Linked DNA regions of Oryzias latipes. The protein of the gene in region 1 interacts with the protein of each later gene in a pairwise test. Links are inferred from orthologs where the notes say so. Each region holds a gene or a part of one and is shown in the gene's direction. Other genes may lie near its edges.

Region 1 (3,669 bases):
GCGGGTGGTTTCTCCTCCAAGCTCGGGTCCTCTACCAGAGGCCTGGGAGCTTGAGGGTCCTGCAGTATCTTAGCTGTTCCTAGCACTGCGCTTTTCTGGACTGAGAGGTCTGAGGTCTTTCCAGGGATCTGTTGTAGCCACTCCTCCAGCTTGGGGGTTACTGCCCCGAGTGCTCCAATTACCACAGGCACCACTGTCACATTCACTTTCCATGCTTTCTCCAGTTCTTCTCTGAGTCCCTGGTATTTCTCCAGTTTCTCATGTTCCTTCTTCCTGATGTTCCCATCGCTTGGCACTGCCACATCCACCACAACGGCTTTCCTCTGTTCTTTATCCACCACTACAATGTCTGGTTGGTTCGCCATTACCATCCTATCAGTCTGGATCTGGAAGTCCCACAGGATTTTTGCCCTCTCATTCTCTACCACCTTCGGAGGTGTTTCCCATTTTGACCTTGGGGTTTCCAGTCCATATTCTGCACACATGTTCCTGTATATTATTCCAGCTGCTTGATTGTGGTGCTCCATGTATGCTTTCCCTGCCAGCATCTTACACCCTGCAGTTATGTGCTGGATTGTTTCAGGCGCTTATTTGCACAGCCTACACCTTGGGTCTTGTCTGGTGTGGTAGATCTGAGCCTCTATTGCTCTGGTGCTCAGGGCTTGTTCCTGAGCTGCCAGGAGGAGCGCATCAGTGCTGTCCTGTAGGCCAGCCCTCTCTAGCCATTGGTAGGACTTCTTGATATCAGCCACTTCAGTTATGGTCCGGTGGTACGTCCCATGCAGGGGTTTGTCTTCCCATGAGGATCTGTCCTCCAGCACTGTATCCTCTGCTCTCCATTGCCTGAGACATTCACTGAGCACACTGTCGGCTGTCGACTGTTTCATCCTCTCTCTCTCTCTCTCTCTCTCTCTCTCTCTCTCTCTCTCTCTCTCTCTCTCTCTCTCTCTCTCTCTCTCTCTATATATATATAGTTATTTATTAAATTATCATAAAATGCTATTTTTTAAGCCCATGTTAAAAATATATAAATTTAATCTAAACATATATATTGCATTTGAATATTGAACAGGAGTAAAGACTTCATAATACTGGAAAAGGCAAGGTTTTTGTATGAGTGTGTGTGTGTGTGTGCGCGCGCGCGCTTTTCTTATGGAGACAATCCGCTACAAAACAAATTCCTTCACGCGACTTTTATTTTGAACAGCCCTGCGTCACTTCCGTTTGATGTCGCATTCCTCACAACATAAAGCAAGAGCCACCGCTAAAAGCTAACGCTACACCTTGAAGGGATTCCCTCCCCCTCCCGCACACAGTCAGGATAAACATGTCAGACACGGTAAGAAAAAGAACGTTGAAGAGTTCGAATGATTTTCTGTCAACACTTTACTAAGAAATCGATAATGTGTTTGTTATGGACGCTGCCTCGTACGTGATTATCTAACAACATGCTAACCGTTAGCTGTTCTAGCTGCAGGCCTCTGACTGAACTTAGCGATTTTTTTTTACCCTCCACGTGAGCTTTTGTGTAGTTTTTTGAGATTTTTTTTTGGGGGGGGGGTCAGAACTGGTGCTGGCGGGACCGAACCCACACTCGTGTCTATGGTGGATGTTCTCTGTGTTCGTGGAACCCGCGGAGTAAACAGACGGGCCTTCCTCGAAAGCGTGCTAGCGGTCGCATCATGTAGCAATGTTTTGTGATGTTTCTGTCAGGAGACGAAACCTTCCAATCAGGACGGAGGCGACAAGAAAGATGGAGAGTACATCAAACTAAAAGTGATCGGTCAGGTAGGTTGTTTTTGTGTCTCTGCTTTTGTTGTCACTACTGTCTGCATTTAGAAATAAACCGTATTCTACTCCATTTCAAATAAAGTTATGGCACGTGGTGGTGTCTCTATTATTGTTTATAGAAGGCTATTATTTTTGGTCAATGATTCTGCCAATTCTTTATCATTTACAGATGTATTCGTTTTAATGCTGGAAGTTGTTATTGTTTTTGAGCTGCATCACCTTTTTGTGTGTGTCCGTTTCTGCCCACAGGACAGCAGTGAAATCCACTTCAAGGTGAAAATGACCACACATCTAAAGAAGCTGAAAGAGTCTTACAGCCAGAGACAGGTATGAAGAGGAAGACGCATCGCCACTTTTCCAATGACAGCCTTCGCAGATCCATCCAAATGCAGTTCCTTATGGTAGAACACGCCATTATTTAAAAAAAAGATAACTCTGATCATCTTTTGATCTATTGCAAAAAATAAAAAGTTCCTAGTGATTTTTATTTATTTTTTTGACACGCTCTCCCGCTAGCTTACTAAGACTCCCAAGCTAATATTAGCAGTGCAACAAAAATGGCGAGCAATATCGGAGCTATCCAGCTGCACAGTTTGGATCCGGATGCTCGGACGAGGAAAATAAAAAAAAGTTACACGAGTCTATTTGTCTGCAAGGGAGCCTTGTGGCTTGCCGTAGTAGCTTTGGAATCATACCTGCAACCTTTTTCCAACTAAGTTTAATTTTGTCTGCTCCTGATTCACAACGATTTTAAATATAAAAAAAAAATAACCCAATTTTAAATGTAATTTTAAGCTTAATTTTCTTTAACCCTTGTGCTATCCTAGGCCCTTTAACATTAGGAGTTGGGTCATCTAGACCCACTAGACAGTGCGCTTAACCTTTCTTCTTCAATGATTTGTGATCTTCACTGGTGTCCATGGATTACATGAAATCTTTCCACTTTTGTCATGGTAGGGAGAACACGTCAATGTAAGGGTGGGGTCATCTAAGATAGCATAAGGGTTACACCTAAAAGCTCGTCTATGTAATCGTTACTCGTGCTCCTAGCGCCTCGCGGCGGCGTTCAAGGAGAGCTGATTGAAGGAAAAATAAAAATCTCCTAATGGTCTAACAGCAGAGGATGACGTTTCTTTCAGGGAGTCCTGGCGAGCACGCTACGGTTTCTTTTTGAGGGACAGAGAATCGCAGATAACCAAACCCCAAAAGAGGTAAGCGACACTCGCAAGAGCGAAAACCAAGCACTAGTGGTCACTAAGGTTTGTGTTTTCTTCTGTTTTTTTATAGCTGGGCATGGAGGATGAGGACGTCATCGAAGTTTATCAAGAACAGACCGGCGGACTTTGGAATCATTAAAGCCACAATTTCTGATGTTTTTTTTTCTTCTTTTTTTTCCCCTTTTATTCATGTTTTTTATCATTTGGTTTTGTATGTATGTATGTATTTCTGTTAAGTTTCAAACCATCTGAATCAAAAAAGCAAAAGGACTCAATCAGGGCTTCCATGTGTGCGGTCGGGGAGGCGGACAGACCGAGGACTCGAACCTGTGGCTCTGCCGTCGGAGGACACTCTAAGATTTTTACCGGCAACCATTTCGCTTTCGTGTTTTAAATTTTTATTTTATCAACCTTGCTGGAATGATGTGCTTTTGCAGGAAAATGGTTTTTAGGAGCTTCTTCCTCCCCAAAATGTTTTTTAAAATTGTCTCATAGAGGAAATATGTCAGATGGCATTCTGGGTAAGTGCGGTTACAGAAACCGTAAAAAGAAACCGATCAGAAGCATACCAGAGCGGCATGCTTCTGATCTTTCCATCTATTCAAAACAAAAAAAGTTGTTTTCCTGGAACGGACCAAAGCGTCTGTCCAAATGAAGGGGG
Region 2 (3,915 bases), on another chromosome or scaffold:
AGAAACCTCTGTGTGAGAGGAACCAGAGAACCTCCCCTTAACAGGCTCCTTTACCTGTGGGGCCTGACAGACTGCCGGCGGCTGTGGGACTACATCTACCAGCTCCTGTCGGACAGCAGGTACGAGAACTACATCCGCTGGGAGGATCCGGAGAGCAAAGTCTTCCGCATCATGGATCCCAACGGCCTGGCCAGGCTCTGGGGCAACCACAAAGTAAACACCTCCACCTGACTCCCTTTCTGCTCCGTCTGCAAAAGAAGATCTTAACGTATAAATGTCACGTCTATGAAGAGCAAATGGAATCAGCGAGCCGGGTCATGAGGTCATGTGACCTCTGAACACCCTATTGTTAGTTTGTAGCAAGATGTGAGAAGTTTGCTCAAATATTCCCGCCTGCCAGCCGTGTCCCCGCTCTGTACTTCATAGCTCTGGTTAAAAGATCGCTTTGGAAAATGTTCACTGTGTTCCATTAAAGAATGTGCAAGTATAGGAGAATGCCACTTTTGCAAGGTCGCCACGTGCAAAACGTTCAAAATCTACAACTTAGAATTCCAACATTGTTTCCATAATTGCTTCCAAATGATGGCCGAGAAGTTCGGAAATGATCAATGAAAATCACGAGTTTTCGTTTGTATCTGCTACTAAAGGTGCAGTTTCTTTTTAATTCAAGATGGAGGTTTCTTCCCGAGGTCAAAGGTTGGCAAAACTCCAGGGGTCGTTGTAGACTTAAGTTAGCACCACGTGTGTAAATGTTTGCAAAAATTACTCGAAAGAAGGTAATTTTCCTTAATTGTAGAAAATCCACAAATCTCTGATTTTGGCACAAAATGGCCGCCAAATCGTAGGTCATCTGGCCATCCCACAATGATTGGAAAACTTCCTATGGAAATCCTGACAAGTGGATATTGATTTCCTTAGAGAATTGTAAATATTTTTCACCCGAATTACATTTTTTAGCTGAGTCAGCAGATTATTTTGGCAAAGGTTTTTTGTTTACCAAGCCCAGAATTTTGACACTGTCATATCGTACGTTATAACCGGAGAATTCATGTATACGGTTTTTACGACATTGTGATAAGAAATGTGAGAGCTAGCTGAGATCGCAACAGTTGCAAAATCGACACACGCACGCCTTTCAAACTTCTAATTCCAACATTTTTTCCACAGTACTTCGCCATTGATAATCGAGAAGTTACAATCAATAAAAATCCTTCAGACGAGTTTTAGTTTGTATCTGGAGCTAAAAGTGTTTTTTTTTAATTCAAGATGGCGGTGGAACTTCTGTGGTCGTTGTAAACTTAAGCTAGCGGCATTTGCGTGAAATTTCGTGAAAATGGCACAAACTAAAATGTTGTTTTCCCATTTTGTCGAAAAACTTCAAAAACGGCAAATCTCAATCTTTGCCACAAAATGTCCGTCAAGCCCTAGGTCGTAAGGTCATCCCATAATAACTTCAAAACTTTCTTTGGATATCCTCGACACGTGTGTTTTGGATTCGCTGCTGTATTTTGATTTTGTTTTTTTGGCTTTCCACGCATGCGGCGGGGACAAATTTCTGCTCACACTTAGTAGAAATTGTTCCAACTGTGAAAACAAAATGGTGGCCCATGATAAACGTTTCACTACAAAGTGATTGACACCCCTTCCCTTGACCAATCGTGGTCAAGGTTCAACTTGACCAATCTGAGTCCCTGATTGGTCAACCTGACCACAGATTTGTTAGTGACAAATCTTTAAACTCACAGAAGTGCCAACCGCAGAATCCGAATAGAGCTGAGAAAGAAAAAGCTTGGCGTAAGATTCATGGTTGTACAGGGTGCACACCAAACCTCGTCCACTAACAAATCTGTCAACGTAGCTTTACATCAAAGTTGCCGATTTTACCCAAAAATGGCGGACAACAGTGTGCGTGGCGTCACTGCAAGTGGTTCCTACAGCAGAGCAAAGCTGATCCGGAAAACCGCCATTTCCACGTCCGCGGATGTCGAATACAAGGCCTCTTAAAATGCAAGAGGGATTAGACACTGGAAGAAAACACGCCGTTTACACGCCATATCTATGTTCTAATGAAAACCGGATCTTTATCTATTCCATTAAGACATGCAGCAGGTGATAGAACTTTTTTTTAAAGTGTACTTTTTTGTTAAGGCTTTTGAAATCCAAGACCCCGTCATGTACCTCCTACCCCGTCCTGTCTGCATCACGAATGAACCGGAAACATATTTATATCCATGTGAGCTTCTCCAGAAACATTTTCCAGAGGAACCAAATCAAGCTCGATACATGAAACAGAATAGCAAAGAATCTCCCTGTAAATCTCTAGAAATAAAATAACAAACCTGCGAATCGCATCATCAGGCTTTAAAAGTATGAACGCCACTCAGACGGACAGTCGCTGCCAAAACCGTTCAACCTAGTCCGCACCGCTGCAGGAGGGACGCGGTACGACCGATGTGATGGCCGATCGCTGTGACGTAGAGGTTTCTTCTGATTCTGAAAGATTTTTGAGGTTCTGTGGCTGATGTTAGCGCTGATGACAATGGTTTTCAAAAGACTGGACTTTTGCCCCAACACAGTTTGAGATGACAAAATGTGTTTAAAATAATAAAACAGGATTCAGTTTTTTTAAAACAGAAAAGGAAAAATCCAGTCCAAACTTCACAGGTTCAATGCTATCTGCTGCCCCCTAGTGGACACAGTGAGCATTTCGATCTTTTACTGAAGAGCCATTCTTACAAACTCCTGTGTTTTTTTTGACCTTTGCAGAACAGAACCAACATGACGTACGAGAAAATGTCGCGAGCACTGAGACACTACTACAAGCTGAACATCATCAGGAAAGAGCCGGGCCAACGGCTTCTGTTCAGGTACGTTTCCTGGAGCTGGATTTCCAGTCCTGCAGCTCCGCCTGCTGAAAACCCTCCTTTCTGCTACCTGCAGGTTCATGAAAACCCCGGATGAGATCATGAACGGCCAGGCCGAGCGTCTGGACCACCTGGAGTCGGACACGTACGAGGAGATCTACATCAAGGAGGAATGCTTGGGGTCGGCGGCGGGCGGGAAGGACCCCCATGAACATGTTTCTGAAAGCGATGATGGCATCTACAACTGATCCGTGGGGAATTTGGACACTCGTGTTGGGGGAAGGGGGGGTCTTGGTCTAAACTTTGCCTTAAGATGATTTTTTTCCTGACCTGCTGTCAAAAAAAAAGAAAAAAATGGAATGAACATGTTTTATTGGATGGACTCGGCGGAACGCAAAGACTCTGCTCCTCGTGGTTTTGTGTGTGGGGTTTTTTTTGGGGGGGGGCTTCATTGCGTTAGTTTCTAAATGGAAAATTGTGTGTTGGAGTGTGCGTGAGAAAGCGTGACAGACTGTTTTCACCATGAAATAAACCTTTTGATCAAACTGCAATTCCTTCAACGTCCACATGGTGGCAGCAGAGGGCAAGTTTAGCCTCCAATTAATGATTTAATGATTTTGGCGCGTGACAGGTTTAGAAACAGTTCTGGTTATAATTGCTTGACATATGTATTTATATTTAACCCAGAGACACAAATCGAATTATTTAATTATAAATTTTAGACTTTCTACCTTTATTGAGATTTAAAAAGATCCCTAGGTTTCATCTGCAGATCCCGAGCGCAGAAAGTAAGCGCCCCTTAAAACCCCAGAAAAGTAATCTGATTACTGCACAGCTCTGTCCCCTGAAGTAACGGCGGCGCGCCACAGTCTCTCCTTAAAAGTTGGTTGCGCGCAGAGCGCAGCTGTCAGAGCGGGAGAGCCGCGGCGCAGCGCGGATCGAGAGGCTGCAGGTGCGTTCCCCTCCCGCACGATCACGCACCGATCAGGCCGCCAAGCTTTGGACTCCGGATGGGATTCTTCTCTGAAGACGGATAATCCTGTCTGACCAG
Region 3 (4,291 bases), on another chromosome or scaffold:
TTGCGGACGATAGACGCTGCGACGCGAACTGACAGCATAATGGACCTCTGTTGATGTGTCCTGCTCCCGGAACCCACAGGGAAGGACGGAAGACACTGCAGGCTGCTACGGAAAGAGCTCCGTGACCCGGAAGTACTTAAAAAAAATGCATTTTTCCATGCACCCAGTATTGAAACTAGCAATATAATGTAGTTTGTTGTATGTAAATCTAAAGCAAAGTAAGTTAAATTCATTGTCAATATCAACACATAGCCTAATAGAAAGGCATAAGCCAGTCAGCCATTATTTAGTCAGCTGGTTATTATAGTTCACCTCCATCTCCATTGTTTGATGGTCGACCAGTTAATTCAAAACTTCCAAACTCATTTATAGGATTTCATGAAAAATCATTCTATGTCAAAGCATTACACAAAAGAAAAAATAAGCAAGTTAAGCTCTAAGTTATTAAATATCCAATTTTTCCAAAATACAAAGAAATCCATTTTAAAATAATGCATGTAGTCTTTCCATGCAAGGAACTACTACATTTACAATTTGGTTTTCCAGGAAATAACTGTTCTTTCTGTGACATAAATATAGAAACACTTGATCATCTTTTTTTTTTAATGAATGTTTTTGGGAGGATTTTTTTTTCTTGGTGCTCCTCAAAGTTTCCCTTTCCTATTTCTTTTCAATTACAAAAGCACATCATATTTTTTTGGAGTAGTTTCTGGTGATAATCTATTTGATTTGACATTTAATACTGTATTAATATCTGGGAAATGTTTCATTCATAAGAGCAGATTTTCAAAAACCAAACCATTATTCAATACATTTCATGAAGAGATCAGTTTATATTTTAAATCTCTGAAATTAATTTAAAAAAACAAAAATGCAATGAAACTGTCTATTTTCATTGAAGATTACATGTTGTATGACAATATCTAGTATTGTAAACTAAAATTATAATGTTATTATTTTTATTTATTTATTCATTTTTGTATTTTATCCTTTTTTTCTTTCTTTCTGTTGTAGTCATGTGTATGCATTTGTTTGAAGTTCAATTTAAAAAAAAAATATTGGGCAACTGTACTGAATGCCCCATACCAAGACCTTTTTCTGTCAAATCTCAGAGGACAGCATCTAATTTATTTAATCTATTTCTCGTAATCTTATAACTTAAAATTTGTTTAAATGACTAAACTCCAGCAACGGAATACCTGACCATTTACTTACTCATTTTGACTTCAACATTAATTTAATCTGTTTTATAAGATCTGGAACCTGAAGCTAATCAGTCACTCTTGGCAACACTTCAGTTTTTTGAAAAAAATATTTATTATCAAAATCCTACAGTGGAATAAAGGGCAAATACATAATTCAAATGGTTGTAAGGATACAGAACAAAATGGAACATCTCGCATACGCTTAGTGTATCAAAATCCGCCTTCCTGCTCATCTGAATAGAAAGAAAGGATGAAAAAAAATATTAAGCTGTAATACTCATGTAAACCTGAAGGGGGCGTCTGAATAAAACCGAGAGACCGGAAGTGGAAAGGACTGCCGAAGGAGACATTTTAAAATAAACACTGAGCTAACAGCTAAAAGAGCTGGCGAAGCTCAGAGCGGACTGCGTCAAAGCAAATTCGCGTTCATGCAAGTTGCGTTTATTTAAAGCGGATTTGGTGTTTTGGTTTCATTTATTGGAAAACCAGAGAACTTAATATTTTTTTGAAAATGTTGAAAAGTGCAACGCTGGAAAACGAATACTATAACTAACACCGTGGTAAGTTGAAACCAGACAAATGCAAAAAGAGGGGTGTAGCTAACGGTTAGCCTACTTTTAGCCGTTGACATGAGATTGCCCGGTACTTCTGTCTGGATAGACACTGTTTCCATTTATAGGCTTGCGGTGCAGCTGTCCTGCCTGAGTGTTTATTTTCACCGCACGTTTTTTTCTTCTCGCTCTCGGCTCGGGAGGACGATATATTACGATCGAAATTATTTCAAGTTAGCAGCCAAAAGGTTGTTAGCATAAGCTAGTTACAAACTCCAACAGAACACACACACACATATATATATATATAAAACATTAAATAACCAACTTTTTGTACAATTTTTCACAGAATCTTGCTTGGAATTTTATTAATTGTGAAAACTTGGGCCAAAATGAAAAATTTGAATATATGTTGGTATTGATGCATATAATATTGGGCGAGTCTGCTGTTATACATGCAGTCAAAGAAGCCTATTGAGTCTGCTTGTTTTGCATTCCTCAGCATATCAAAACTTTCAAATGATTTTTTTTTTTTTTCTGGCAGGTGAATTTCTGTCCAGGGACATTGGTCCAAGTTTGGTGGACCTTTGGGCTCTGGGCTAAACAAGATTAAAGATGGCTGATTTCTCAAGAGCAGAAGAAGTGTTGGATGTCGAATGCCCTCCTGCATGCCTTGATGATCCTCAATCAGCCACAGCCTCAGTTCATGAAGAACAAGATGAGCATCTGAAAACGGAGACCACCACCAGTACGAGTTCACCCCCAAGGGAGAAGGAGATAGACAGCCCCTTAAACACTGAGGGGGAGCAAAGTCTCCTTTCAATGCCATGCCTGATGAAGGAGCTCCACAGAGACTCCCCAGAGTCCCAACATGCATCTAAAAGGAGTGACAAGCTTGTGTCACGTAATATCTATGAAAGTGACTCTTCAAATCCCTGCATGCTGTCCCCTTCATCTAGTGGGCACCTTGCTGACTCAGATACTCTTTCGTCTGGAGAAGAGGGTGTTGTTCCACCTGCAGGAGGAGAAGAAGGGGATGCTATGGAGGCCACAAATGATCCTGGGCAAGAATCAAAACAAACCTCTGCCACTGCCTCAGGAGGTAGGAAGTCCCGCCGGTCGCGTTCAGAGAGTGAGACGCCTCCCAGTGCGATGGCTGCCAAGAAGAACCGCTGCCAGCCTACAATGGCCGTAGCTGCTGGGCTGGAAACTAATGGCAAGCCGACTAAAGTGAAAGGTCACCGGAGCCAGAAACACAAGGAGCGTATACGTCTGCTGAGGCAGAAACGTGAAGCAGCAGCACGGAAGAAATATAACCTGCTGCAGGACAGCAGTACCAGTGACAGTGAGCTCACATGTGACTCGAGCACCACCTCCTCTGAGGATGATGACACTTCTGGAGGAAGCAAGACAATCCAGACAGATATTCCAGGTAACGTCCATAATCTTATCACATACTGTGGCTATAAATACTTAGTTTAAAAAAAAAACATTAATATAGCAAAGACACAGAACCTTAGTTAAGAAAGTGTAATCAAATCAAAAAATGTTGTAAAATAAATGCCAAAGAAGGCCTGCTTTGTATTTGTGGATCGGTCATTTTCTAGTTTTTTCCTCATCTACCATCTAAAGTCATTTGTCTTGTATCTCTGCCTAAATAATCTTCATTTAGCTGCTCTCTGTCCAGTCACTTGCCATTCTACTTCACTTTTTGATGGCGCTTGTGTCCCGTTTTGCATGCTGTGAAGGTTTATTTGACACTGTATAACTCATGGGGTAATAATAATCCACCAGTAGTGCCATTTCTGCTGTTTTGGTAGCTGTTCTATGTTCCATTGTGATTTCATTACATTTTTACAAAACATACCTGTTAGAGTTTTTAGGGTCTAATAAATGTGTAGATCACTGAAAGATGCGATCAAAGGTTTCTTTTTTATTATTATTTTAATAGGACCTGCTTTGTTTTATTGTTTTTTATTTAGTGTGATGAAGGTTTTTTTGTTGTTTTTTTTGTTTTGGTCCAGGTCGATCATACTGCCCACACAGAATTATTTTACCGGTTCAGTCGGGTGGTCCTTCTTTTCTAAAACAGATTCTGCAGAGCAGTTGGGCAGCGTTTGTGTGTTAAATGTTAATCTATACAATGCTCTGAATCGTCTAATGCAAACCGAGGTCAAACCCTGACAGTCCTCTGTACGTGTAGATCAGCTCTCTTGTTTCCTCAGCTGATGTAGAAATGTCTTGGGAGAGCTGAGGCATCTGGAACAACAAGTAGGCTAATATTTGAAGATGTGATGCTGCTGTTGGGAAAGAGGCCCTCATATTTATCTAAGCCTGATCTTTTCACTCTTTTTTTTTTTTCCTTGTGGCTTTAGAAAGGCTTTTATTTAGTGAGTAGCAGTTAGTAAATTTATGTTTTTTTACATCAAATGTTTCTGATTTAATCAGGTATTCTCCTGTCTAATGAGAGAGTTTGAATAATGAAGATATTGCAATTGTGTTCATACTGCACCAACAGTGAACATGTTTGCTTAT

Evidence for each region.
Region 2: the proteins of sumo1 (region 1) and etv6 interact in a two-hybrid assay, tested with the Homo sapiens proteins (2 studies listed by BioGRID). The link is inferred for Oryzias latipes from reciprocal best matches to the Homo sapiens genes SUMO1 and ETV6.
Region 3: the proteins of sumo1 (region 1) and c12h18orf25 interact in binary tests that used the Homo sapiens proteins (3 or more experiments, as listed by UniProt). The link is inferred for Oryzias latipes from reciprocal best matches to the Homo sapiens genes SUMO1 and ARK2N.

Annotation. Positions count from the first base shown.
Region 1 is NC_019860.2:9,899,751-9,903,419, reverse strand, and holds sumo1 (small ubiquitin-related modifier 1), read left to right. Parts: upstream 1-1,306; 5' UTR 1,307-1,327; coding exon 1,328-1,339; intron 1,340-1,713; coding exon 1,714-1,788; intron 1,789-2,040; coding exon 2,041-2,118; intron 2,119-2,930; coding exon 2,931-3,002; intron 3,003-3,078; coding exon 3,079-3,147; 3' UTR 3,148-3,168; downstream 3,169-3,669. UniProt on the Homo sapiens protein: Ubiquitin-like protein that can be covalently attached to proteins as a monomer or a lysine-linked polymer.
Region 2 is NC_019881.2:2,195,399-2,199,313, reverse strand, and holds the end of etv6 (transcription factor ETV6), read left to right. Parts: intron 1-70; coding exon 71-213; intron 214-2,766; coding exon 2,767-2,867; intron 2,868-2,940; coding exon 2,941-3,112; 3' UTR 3,113-3,415; downstream 3,416-3,915. UniProt on the Homo sapiens protein: Transcriptional repressor; binds to the DNA sequence 5'-CCGGAAGT-3'. Plays a role in hematopoiesis and malignant transformation.
Region 3 is NC_019870.2:8,672,081-8,676,371, forward strand, and holds the start of c12h18orf25 (uncharacterized protein C18orf25 homolog), read left to right. Parts: upstream 1-1,358; 5' UTR 1,359-1,765; intron 1,766-2,300; 5' UTR 2,301-2,371; coding exon 2,372-3,188; intron 3,189-4,291. Other genes in the region: ATP synthase subunit alpha, mitochondrial, read right to left, coding at 1-38. UniProt on the Homo sapiens protein: AMPK substrate important for exercise capacity and skeletal muscle function.